2 linked regions of the Macaca mulatta genome follow. The protein of the gene in region 1 purifies or fractionates together with the protein of each later gene. This does not show direct contact. Links are inferred from orthologs where the notes say so. Each region holds a gene or a part of one and is shown on either strand. Other genes may lie near its edges. The genes, in order: PPP2R5A and AXIN1.

What was found.
Region 2: the proteins of PPP2R5A (region 1) and AXIN1 purify together in Homo sapiens (affinity purification with western blotting; 3 studies listed by BioGRID and IntAct, with this or other methods). This does not show direct contact. The link is inferred for Macaca mulatta from reciprocal best matches to the Homo sapiens genes PPP2R5A and AXIN1.

The regions. Positions count from the first base shown.
Region 1 is NC_133406.1:70,093,011-70,096,818, forward strand, and holds part of PPP2R5A (serine/threonine-protein phosphatase 2A 56 kDa regulatory subunit alpha isoform), read left to right. Parts: intron 1-1,974; coding exon 1,975-2,025; intron 2,026-2,294; coding exon 2,295-2,414; intron 2,415-2,501; coding exon 2,502-2,629; intron 2,630-3,761; coding exon 3,762-3,808. UniProt on the Homo sapiens protein: The B regulatory subunit might modulate substrate selectivity and catalytic activity, and might also direct the localization of the catalytic enzyme to a particular subcellular compartment.
Region 2 is NC_133425.1:1,566,904-1,571,401, reverse strand, and holds the start of AXIN1 (axin-1), read left to right. Parts: upstream 1-1,546; 5' UTR 1,547-1,821; intron 1,822-1,937; exon of another isoform or gene 1,938-2,229; intron 2,230-2,282; exon of another isoform or gene 2,283-2,430; intron 2,431-2,458; 5' UTR 2,459-2,460; coding exon 2,461-2,538; intron 2,539-4,498. UniProt on the Homo sapiens protein: Component of the beta-catenin destruction complex required for regulating CTNNB1 levels through phosphorylation and ubiquitination, and modulating Wnt-signaling.

The sequences.
Region 1 (3,808 bases):
ATCTAGGTGTAAGTACACACTACGATGTTTAAATGATGAAATTGCCTAACGACACATTTCTTAGAACGTATCCCCATCATTAAATGACATATAACTGTATTTGTAATCTTCTATGATCTTCAGTAAAGTTTTATACTTTTCTTCATATGTCTTAAATATTTCTTGCAAATTTATTCTTTATGCACATTACAGTTCTTATGAAAAGTACCTTTTTTATTATTCATCTGATTTTTACTGATGTTTTATAAAGGTATTGATTTTTATATACATATTTTTTAATGTGGCCACATACTGAATTTTCCTACTCTAGTAACTTGCAGGTTTTTTTTTTTTTTTTTTTAAGTTTTAGGGGATATATAAATATATATTTACACAAGTAATTGTAATTCTGGTATTCCTTTCCAACATTATTCATCACATTGTTATCTTACTGGATTATCTCCAAAACAATATTCTTCTCAATTTTAATTTGAATTAGTGTTCCACATTACTGAACCAGACAGACTATAAAGTAACCTAAAAAGCTATCAAAGATCTACTTCCACAAAACCACCAGGACTAGATGGTTTTACAGCCTGTCTCTAATAAATCATTGTGTAGAATGATTACTGGTGGTTTCTGATAAATTCATTTAGTTCTAGCTTACTAATTTTTTTTATCAGAATATATAGTTAATTAAAAATGTCAAATGACTTGAAAATCTTTTGAAATGATCTGTTTTTTATTTCCCCCTTTAACCTATGAATCGAACCATCCTGGCATTTCTGGAATAAGTTACAATTAGGCATATAGCATTCTTCTATTGTGATTCAGTTTAATGCAAATGTTTTCAACTATGTTTATTTAAATAAATAGTCTCCACTTTGGGAGGCCGAGGCTGGTAGATCACAAGCTCAGGAGTTTAAGACCAGCCTGGCCAAGATGTTGAAACCTGTCTTTACTAAAAATACAAAAATTAGCCAGGTGCGGTGGCAGGCGCCTATAATGCCAGCTACTCGAGAAGCTGAGGCAGAGAATTGCTTGAACCCAGGAGGCTGAGGTTGCAGTGAGCCAAGATCACACCACTGTGCTCCAGCCTGGGCGACAGAGTGAGACTCCGTCTCAAAATAAATAAATAAATAAGAATAGTCTCTTTTGTTTCATTGTATTCTGGTTATAAAGATTGTACTAGCCATGAAATAGACTGGGAAGCTGTCCGGCTCTTTTTTGTGCTTCATACTGGTTTAAATAACAGGAATCATCTGTTCCTTAAGGTTTCTCCCTAAAATAACCTCCCTCTTACCCCACCAACTTGTATTTTCCTTTATTTTCTTAGAAGTAGCACATACTGGCCGGGTGCGGTGGCTCAAGCCTGTAATCCCAGCACTTTGGGAGGCCGAGACGGGCAGATCACGAGGTCAGGAGATCGAGACCATCCTGGCTAACACGGTGAAACCCCGTCTCTACTAAAAAATACCAAAAAACTAGCCGGGCGAGGTGGTGGGCACCTGTAGTCCCAGCTACTCGGGAGGCTGAGGCAGGAGAATGGCGTGAACCCGGGAGGCGGAGCTTGCAGTGAGCTGAGATCCGGCCACTGCACTCCAGCCTGGGCGACAGAGCGAGACTCTGTCTCAAAAAAAAAAAAAAAAAAAGTAGCAGCACATACTATTAAATTTTTATGTGTTTAATTGATCACTTGCATTGGTCTTGCTCCATTAGAATGTAAGCTCTATGAAAACCAGAGACCTCATCTATCTTATACATCAGTGTGTCCCTAGCATCTAGAACAATATCTGGTACATAGTAGGCACTCAGTAAATATTTGTTGAATTAATAAAATTCTAAAGCTGAGCAGAAAGTCTGCTTATACACTTATATATTAAGCAATATTGATTTACTTCAGAATGAGTGTTGATATAATCATAGCTATGGAAAATACCCTGGGATTAACTAGCTTCATTGTTAAATTCACGCTAAACTTTTTCTTTTTCGCAGGTGATCAGAGGACTGCTGAAATTTTGGCCAAAAACCTGCAGTCAGAAAGAGGTGGGTTTTGTTCACTAAATGTAGTGCATTTTACTAGAACTTGTCAATCCCAGGGCTATGCTGCTTTGGGCTAGCTGTATTGCTGTTGCTAACGAGCGGGAGATGTACACAGACTTGGTAGAAGACTTGTGCTATAATAAACTCTGTGCCACCCAGACATTTTTTTTGCCCATTGTATACTCTGCAGATTAACCTTCTCATTTGTATGGTTTCTATATTAGTTTCACATAATTTATCATGTTTCTTAAAATAAAATTTTTTTAACCTAGGTGATGTTTTTAGGAGAAATTGAAGAAATCTTAGATGTCATTGAACCAACACAGTTCAAAAAAATTGAAGAGCCACTTTTCAAGCAGATATCCAAGTGTGTATCCAGTTCTCATTTTCAGGTATGATGTTTTCAGTGAAGCCCTTACTTTACACTAGTATTTCTTTCCTATTTTAGTTTTGACATTTCTCTAAATGTCTTTTTTTAGGTTGCAGAAAGGGCATTGTACTTCTGGAATAATGAATATATTCTTAGTTTGATTGAGGAGAACATTGATAAAATTCTGCCAATTATGTTTGCCAGTTTGTACAAAATTTCCAAAGAACACTGGAATCCGTAAGTATCTTTTATATAGGTCGTATTTTTATTTTTCTTTCTTTATTTTTTTTAAAACCTTTTTGTCATTGATTTCCTAACTCATACCTGAAACCTATTACAGATTTGGAAGTTACTCCAAGGTTAACATCAGTTGTATTCTGTTTTGTATTTTATATACATATACCTTTATCAAGTTATAAATGTGTGTGTATGTTCTTCACTATGTGGTCTTAATGTCAATTTATTTTTTAACTTTTTTTAGAGACAGTCTTGCTCTGTTGCCCAGGCCGGAGTGCAATGGTGTGATCATAGCTCACCATAGCCTCAAACTCCTGGGTTCACGCAATCCTCCTGCCTCAGCCTCCCGAGTAGCTAGGACCACAGGTGTACACCACCATACCCAGCCAATTTTTATTTTTATTTTTTTGGACACTTGAGGTCTTAGTATATTGCCCAGGCTGGACTGAAACTCGTGATCTCAAGTGATGATCTCACCTTGGCCTCCCAAAGTGCTGAGATTATAGGCATGAACCACTGTGCCCAGCCTTCATATCAATTTAAAATTGCAAATCTCCCTGGAGGGTGGACTATCTGGTATACCATTCTGCACCAGAGTGTGGTGAAACCCTGTTGGAGAGACCAACTGAACATTTGCAGAGGATGCACAAACTACTTCGTTAATGCAGAGTTGTGTTGGTCTGCTCCCAGTGTATAGTCTCACCTCTATAAGTGGCACTGTCCTAGGGGAAAGCCGAAGTGCTAAGGGTAATATATTCTAACTTCTTTAACATCCTTATCTGGCTTTCTACTTTTCTTATAAGTTTTGGTAATTGGATCTTTTTCATCTTTTAATGTTGTTACTCAGGATTTCAGACATGAGACTGTAAAGCAGAAATGAAGATAACTATAGTGAACATTTTTAACTACAATTTAAGCATGATAAAGTGGAAAAGATTTTTCTTAGACTCTCTCTACCACCACTTGCTGTATGACCTTGAGCATATTACAAACCTCTTGAGCCTCAGTTTTATCATCTCTAAAATGGATTAAATGAATCAGCCAACCTTTAAACCATTTTAGAGACCATAGTGTTAACATTTCCTCTCTGTTAGCAGTATCATAACTCAGGACTGGCTCATTTTCATTTCAGGACCATTGTAGCACTGGTATACAATGTGCTGAAAACCCTAATGGAAA
Region 2 (4,498 bases), on another chromosome or scaffold:
GGAGGCGAGCTGGTCCTGTGTGGCCTGAACTGCAGCTGTCTCCTCTGTTAAATGGGGGTATAGCTGACCCCAGGGGGCTGCCTGGGGCGTCCTGGGAGGTGTCAGGCCCAACAGTGCTCTGGGAAGGACAGGGCTGATCCTGGTACTGACATCCTCCTCCTTGGGGGAGGCAGGGCCTGATGGTCGGCTGAGGCCTGGGTGGAGAGCAGAGGGTTGGTTCTGACAGGGTTGGGCTGGCCAGAGCTGGTGTGGGGGCTGCTGCTGGGGTCCTGTGCCTCTCTGCTGTGGGATGCCTGGGGCTGTGGCCTTGTGCTCTGTGGCCTGCAGGGCAGGTGGCACGGATCTGGGCAGCCAAGATGGCAGGATTGGACTGCACCCCTTGGCAGGGCCGCTGTGGAGACAGCCCAGGGGAGGGGCTGCAGGGTTTCAGACACTCCAATGGCCTTCCTCTCAGGCTGGCCTGGGCAGCGGAGGGAAGGAGAACCCTTCTCTGATACTAGATGGTGCCTGGGAGAAATCAAGGCAGAGGGTCCTAGCCGGTGGGCTCCTTGGAGGTTGTGGCTCCTGTCCGGGTGACAGCCAGCACATATTGGGGCCTAATGTGTTCCCTGGCGCTGTGAGTCCCGGCTGCCTGGGGACTCAGGAGGGTGGAGCCCACGCCACCTTCCAAGGGACCTGGCCATCCCTGCCTGCCGACCACCCAACTCCTGGGAGCCTGCTTCCCTCACGGCGGCTGGCAGGCCGTGGCGGTCTCCGCGGGGGCCTCCGGTCCAGGGCCGGCGGGGCAGGGAGCCCCGAGGCCTGCAGCCCCCTGGATGCCCACCGATGTACTGGCGGCAGAAAAGGGCTGCGCCCCGCGTGCGCCCGTCGGGGCGGGCAGTCCGCCCAGCGCTCCCCACGGTCGCAGCCATTCCAAGCACCTGCAGCGGCGCCTCCCCCACTCCGCACTCCGGGAAGCCGCAGCCGCCGCGGCTCTGCTTCCGCGTCGCCCCTCGGGAAGACCGCGCGACCACGCCCCCGCCGCGCCCCGCCCCCGGCAGGGGCTGACCACACCCCTCTCCCGCTCACGCAGAGGCCCTGCCCCATGCTTCTCACCTCGTCCTCGCTTCCGGCCCCGCCCCGCGCACGAGGCTCCGCCCCACGCTCGTTACCTCTTCGGCTCGAGGCGGGCCCCGCCTTGCTCCCTGGCCGCAGCCCCACTCCCAAGGCCCCGCCCTGCGCTCTTCACCTCGTCTTCTCGCTTCCGGCCCCGCCCGTGCTTGGGCCCCGCCCTGCGCTCCTCACCTGTCCAATCGCTGTCTGCCCCGCCCCACGCTCCTCACCTTATCCTCGCGCTTTCAGCCACGCCCCGCGCCTGAAGCCCCGCCCCACGCTCTTTACCTCGTCCCCTCGCTGTCGGCCCCGCCCCGAGCTGAGGCCCCGCCCCGCGCTCTCACCTCGTCCCCGCGCCCCGGCCCCGCCCCCGCACTTCCGGGCGCCGCCGGCGGGGGCGCTCGGGCCTGGGCTTCGGCGCTCTGGGCTCGGGCTCCGGCTCCGGAGGCAATCGTGGCCGCTGCCGCCGCCAGAGCCGGCCGGAGTCGACCCGGAGCCGCGTCCACGCGGAGCGGGCGGGTGGGAGCTGGCGGCTGGGCCCCTGCGGCGCCCCCGCGGCCTGCCCCGCGTCCGCCCCCGGGCCGCCGAGCCGCAGCCGCCGAGATGGGGGCCGCCCCGGGCCGCGCCCCCGCCGAGTCCCGCCCGCCGCGCTGCCGCTGAGCGCATGGGCCGGGCTGCGCCGCGCCGCTCCGGGAGCCGGGCCCGGGGCCCCGCCGCCTCCGCGCGCGGGTGAGTAGGGCCGGGCGCCGGGGCGGGCTAGGCCGCGCTAGGCCGGGCGGGCGGGACCCGGAAGCGGCGGGGGGCGCGGGTGGCTGACGCGCGTGGGGCCGAGGGGGTGGGCGCGCGGGGAGCTGGGGCAGGGGTGTCCCTGGGCAGCGAGACCGGCGGCGCGGGGGCCGCTTGGAGTTCCGAGGCCTCGGGCGCGTCTGGGGGCGCGGAGCAGCTGCAGGGGCCGCGCATCGCGTGCGGGAACTCCGGGAGAGCCGGGCCTGGAGCCCTCCCCGCCTCCCAGAAGTCGGCAGGAGTCCGGCTGCCCCGGAGGAGGGCACTCCCGCCCGCCCTCGCCGAGGCCGCGTACCGGGTCCAGGTCGCGGTGCGGCCTGAGTAGCCGCGTGCTCAGGCGTTCGTGCCCTCCAGGTTTGATGCCTCGCTGCCCAAACACTCGTCTCTCTCTTGGGTGTGGTTCCTAGATTCTACCTCCCGCCCGGCACTTTGGAATTTAGCCCCCAGTGAAACCAGAGCTGCATTGCCTGAGCAGTGAAACTTTCGGCTTGGCATTGAAGAAAGTAGAGAAAAACATGTCAGTTCTCTAGGGATTTTTCTCAGCCCATCTATAAGGTAATTTTTTTTTTTTTTTTTTTTGTAGAGATGAGGTGTCACTATATTGCCCAGCAAGTGTTGTTGAACTCTTGGCCTCAAGCGATCCACCTGCCTCAACCTGCCAAGGTGCTGGGACTACATGCGTGACCACCGCCCCCTCTAAGATAATTTTTTTTTTTTGAGACGGAGTCTCGCACTGTCGCCCAGGCTGGGAGTGCAGTGGCGCGATCTTGGCTCACTGCAACTTCCACCTCCTGGGTTCAAGCAGTTTTCCTGCCTCAGCCTCCTGAGTAGCTGGGATTACAGGCATGCGCCACCACGCCCGGCTAATTTTTCTATTTTTAGTAGAGACGGGGTTTCACCGTATTGACCAGGCTGGCCTGGAACTCCTGACCTCAGGTGATCCGCCCACCTCGGCCTACCAAAGTGTTGGGATTACAGGTGTGAGCCACCGTGCCTGGCCCCTTCTAAGATAATTGATAAAGGGTGCAGTGCAATAGTGCGATCTCTGCTCACCGCAATCTCCGCCTCCCAGGTTCAAGCGATTCTCCTGCTTCAGCCTTCCCAAGTAGCTGGGATTATAGGCATGTGCCACCAAACCTGACTAATTTTGTATTTTTAGTAGAGTTGGGGTTTCTCCATGTGGGTCAGGCTGGTCTCAAACTCCTGACCTCAGGTGATCCGCCCACCTCGGCCTCCCAAAGTGCTGGGATTACAAGGGTCAGCCACCACACCTGGCCTCAGTTTCAGTTTTAAGATCTCCATTCGGGGACAAGGATGGGAAAGCATGAAAAACAGTGTTTTTGTTTGATTTTCAGCTGGTGTTGACTTGGATTTCTAGTTTCAGAAAAGCTAAGCAGACTTTTTCGGATTACATTAGTCACTGAGAATTTCAGTGATGGGGGAACAAATTACATGTGAAATAGTAGCCCTGAACCTTCAAGAGTTAAATCAGTGGACAGCTGGGAAGATGTCAGAGTCGTGCTGTTTTACTTGCATCCTCCATGTAAATCAAAATTTCAAAAGTTAAGTTTGGGTAAAATAAATACCTACACACGTAGGTAGCACTGAGTTTGCTGCCATGGTGCCTGGGGCATATGCCTAAGCAGTGATGAAAGGGAATTTTAAATACGATATCAGACTTGTAGGCATCCTGCCCATTTTATGGACTCACTTTATTGATGGTAGCTACAGGCTGTGGGCCAGATTCAGTGCTTGCGGGCATTTGATGCTAACCTGAGTAAACATAACTGCTTTATGTGTGGTGTCTACGTGTGTGTACACTAAATGCTTGGTGTGCTTCCATGTGGAAACCCAGAGATTTCAGGAATTGGGATATGTTTTAACAACATCAGTAACTTGTGGAGGGGTTCATGTGCTTCCAGGGACACCAAAAAGTCTTCTGTCAGTTGACAGCCCAAAATACACATGATTATAAAAAAATTTTCTCCTGGGCTCTGAAAAATAGTTTAAAATAATTAAGGTGGACTTGGTTCACACATGAATTAAAACATTAGTTTTGGGGCCAGGCAAGGTGGCCTGTAATCCCAACACTTTGGGAGGCCGAGATGGGCAGATTGCTTTGAGCTCAAGAGTTTGAGACCAGCCTGCCCAACATGGTGAAACCCCATCTCTACAAAAAATACAAGAATTAGCCGGGCGTTGGTGGCTCCTGCTTGTAGTCCCCGCCATATGAGAGGCTGAGGCTGGAGAGTTGCTTGAGCCTGGGAAGCTGAGGCTGCAGTCAGCTGAACTCGCCCCACTGCACTCCAGCCTGGGCGACAGAGCGAGACCCTGTCTCAAAATAACAAAAAAAACCAAAACAATAAAACCCATTAGTTTTGGAAGAATTTGCTGCTGTTTTCTGTAGTACAGTAGTTCAGCATCTGTAGAGAGCCAGTGTTTGGCATCTGTGACAAATGTCTGTCTTTTTTACATCAATGAATTAAATCAAAGAATTAAATATCATTGAATTAAAAATCAATGAATTAAATATTCATTGATGAATATTCAAGCTAGTGAATGGCAGCGCATCTATCACGGTAAGGCTCAGGTGGTCAGGGTGCAGGCCTTCTTTCCTGTGACG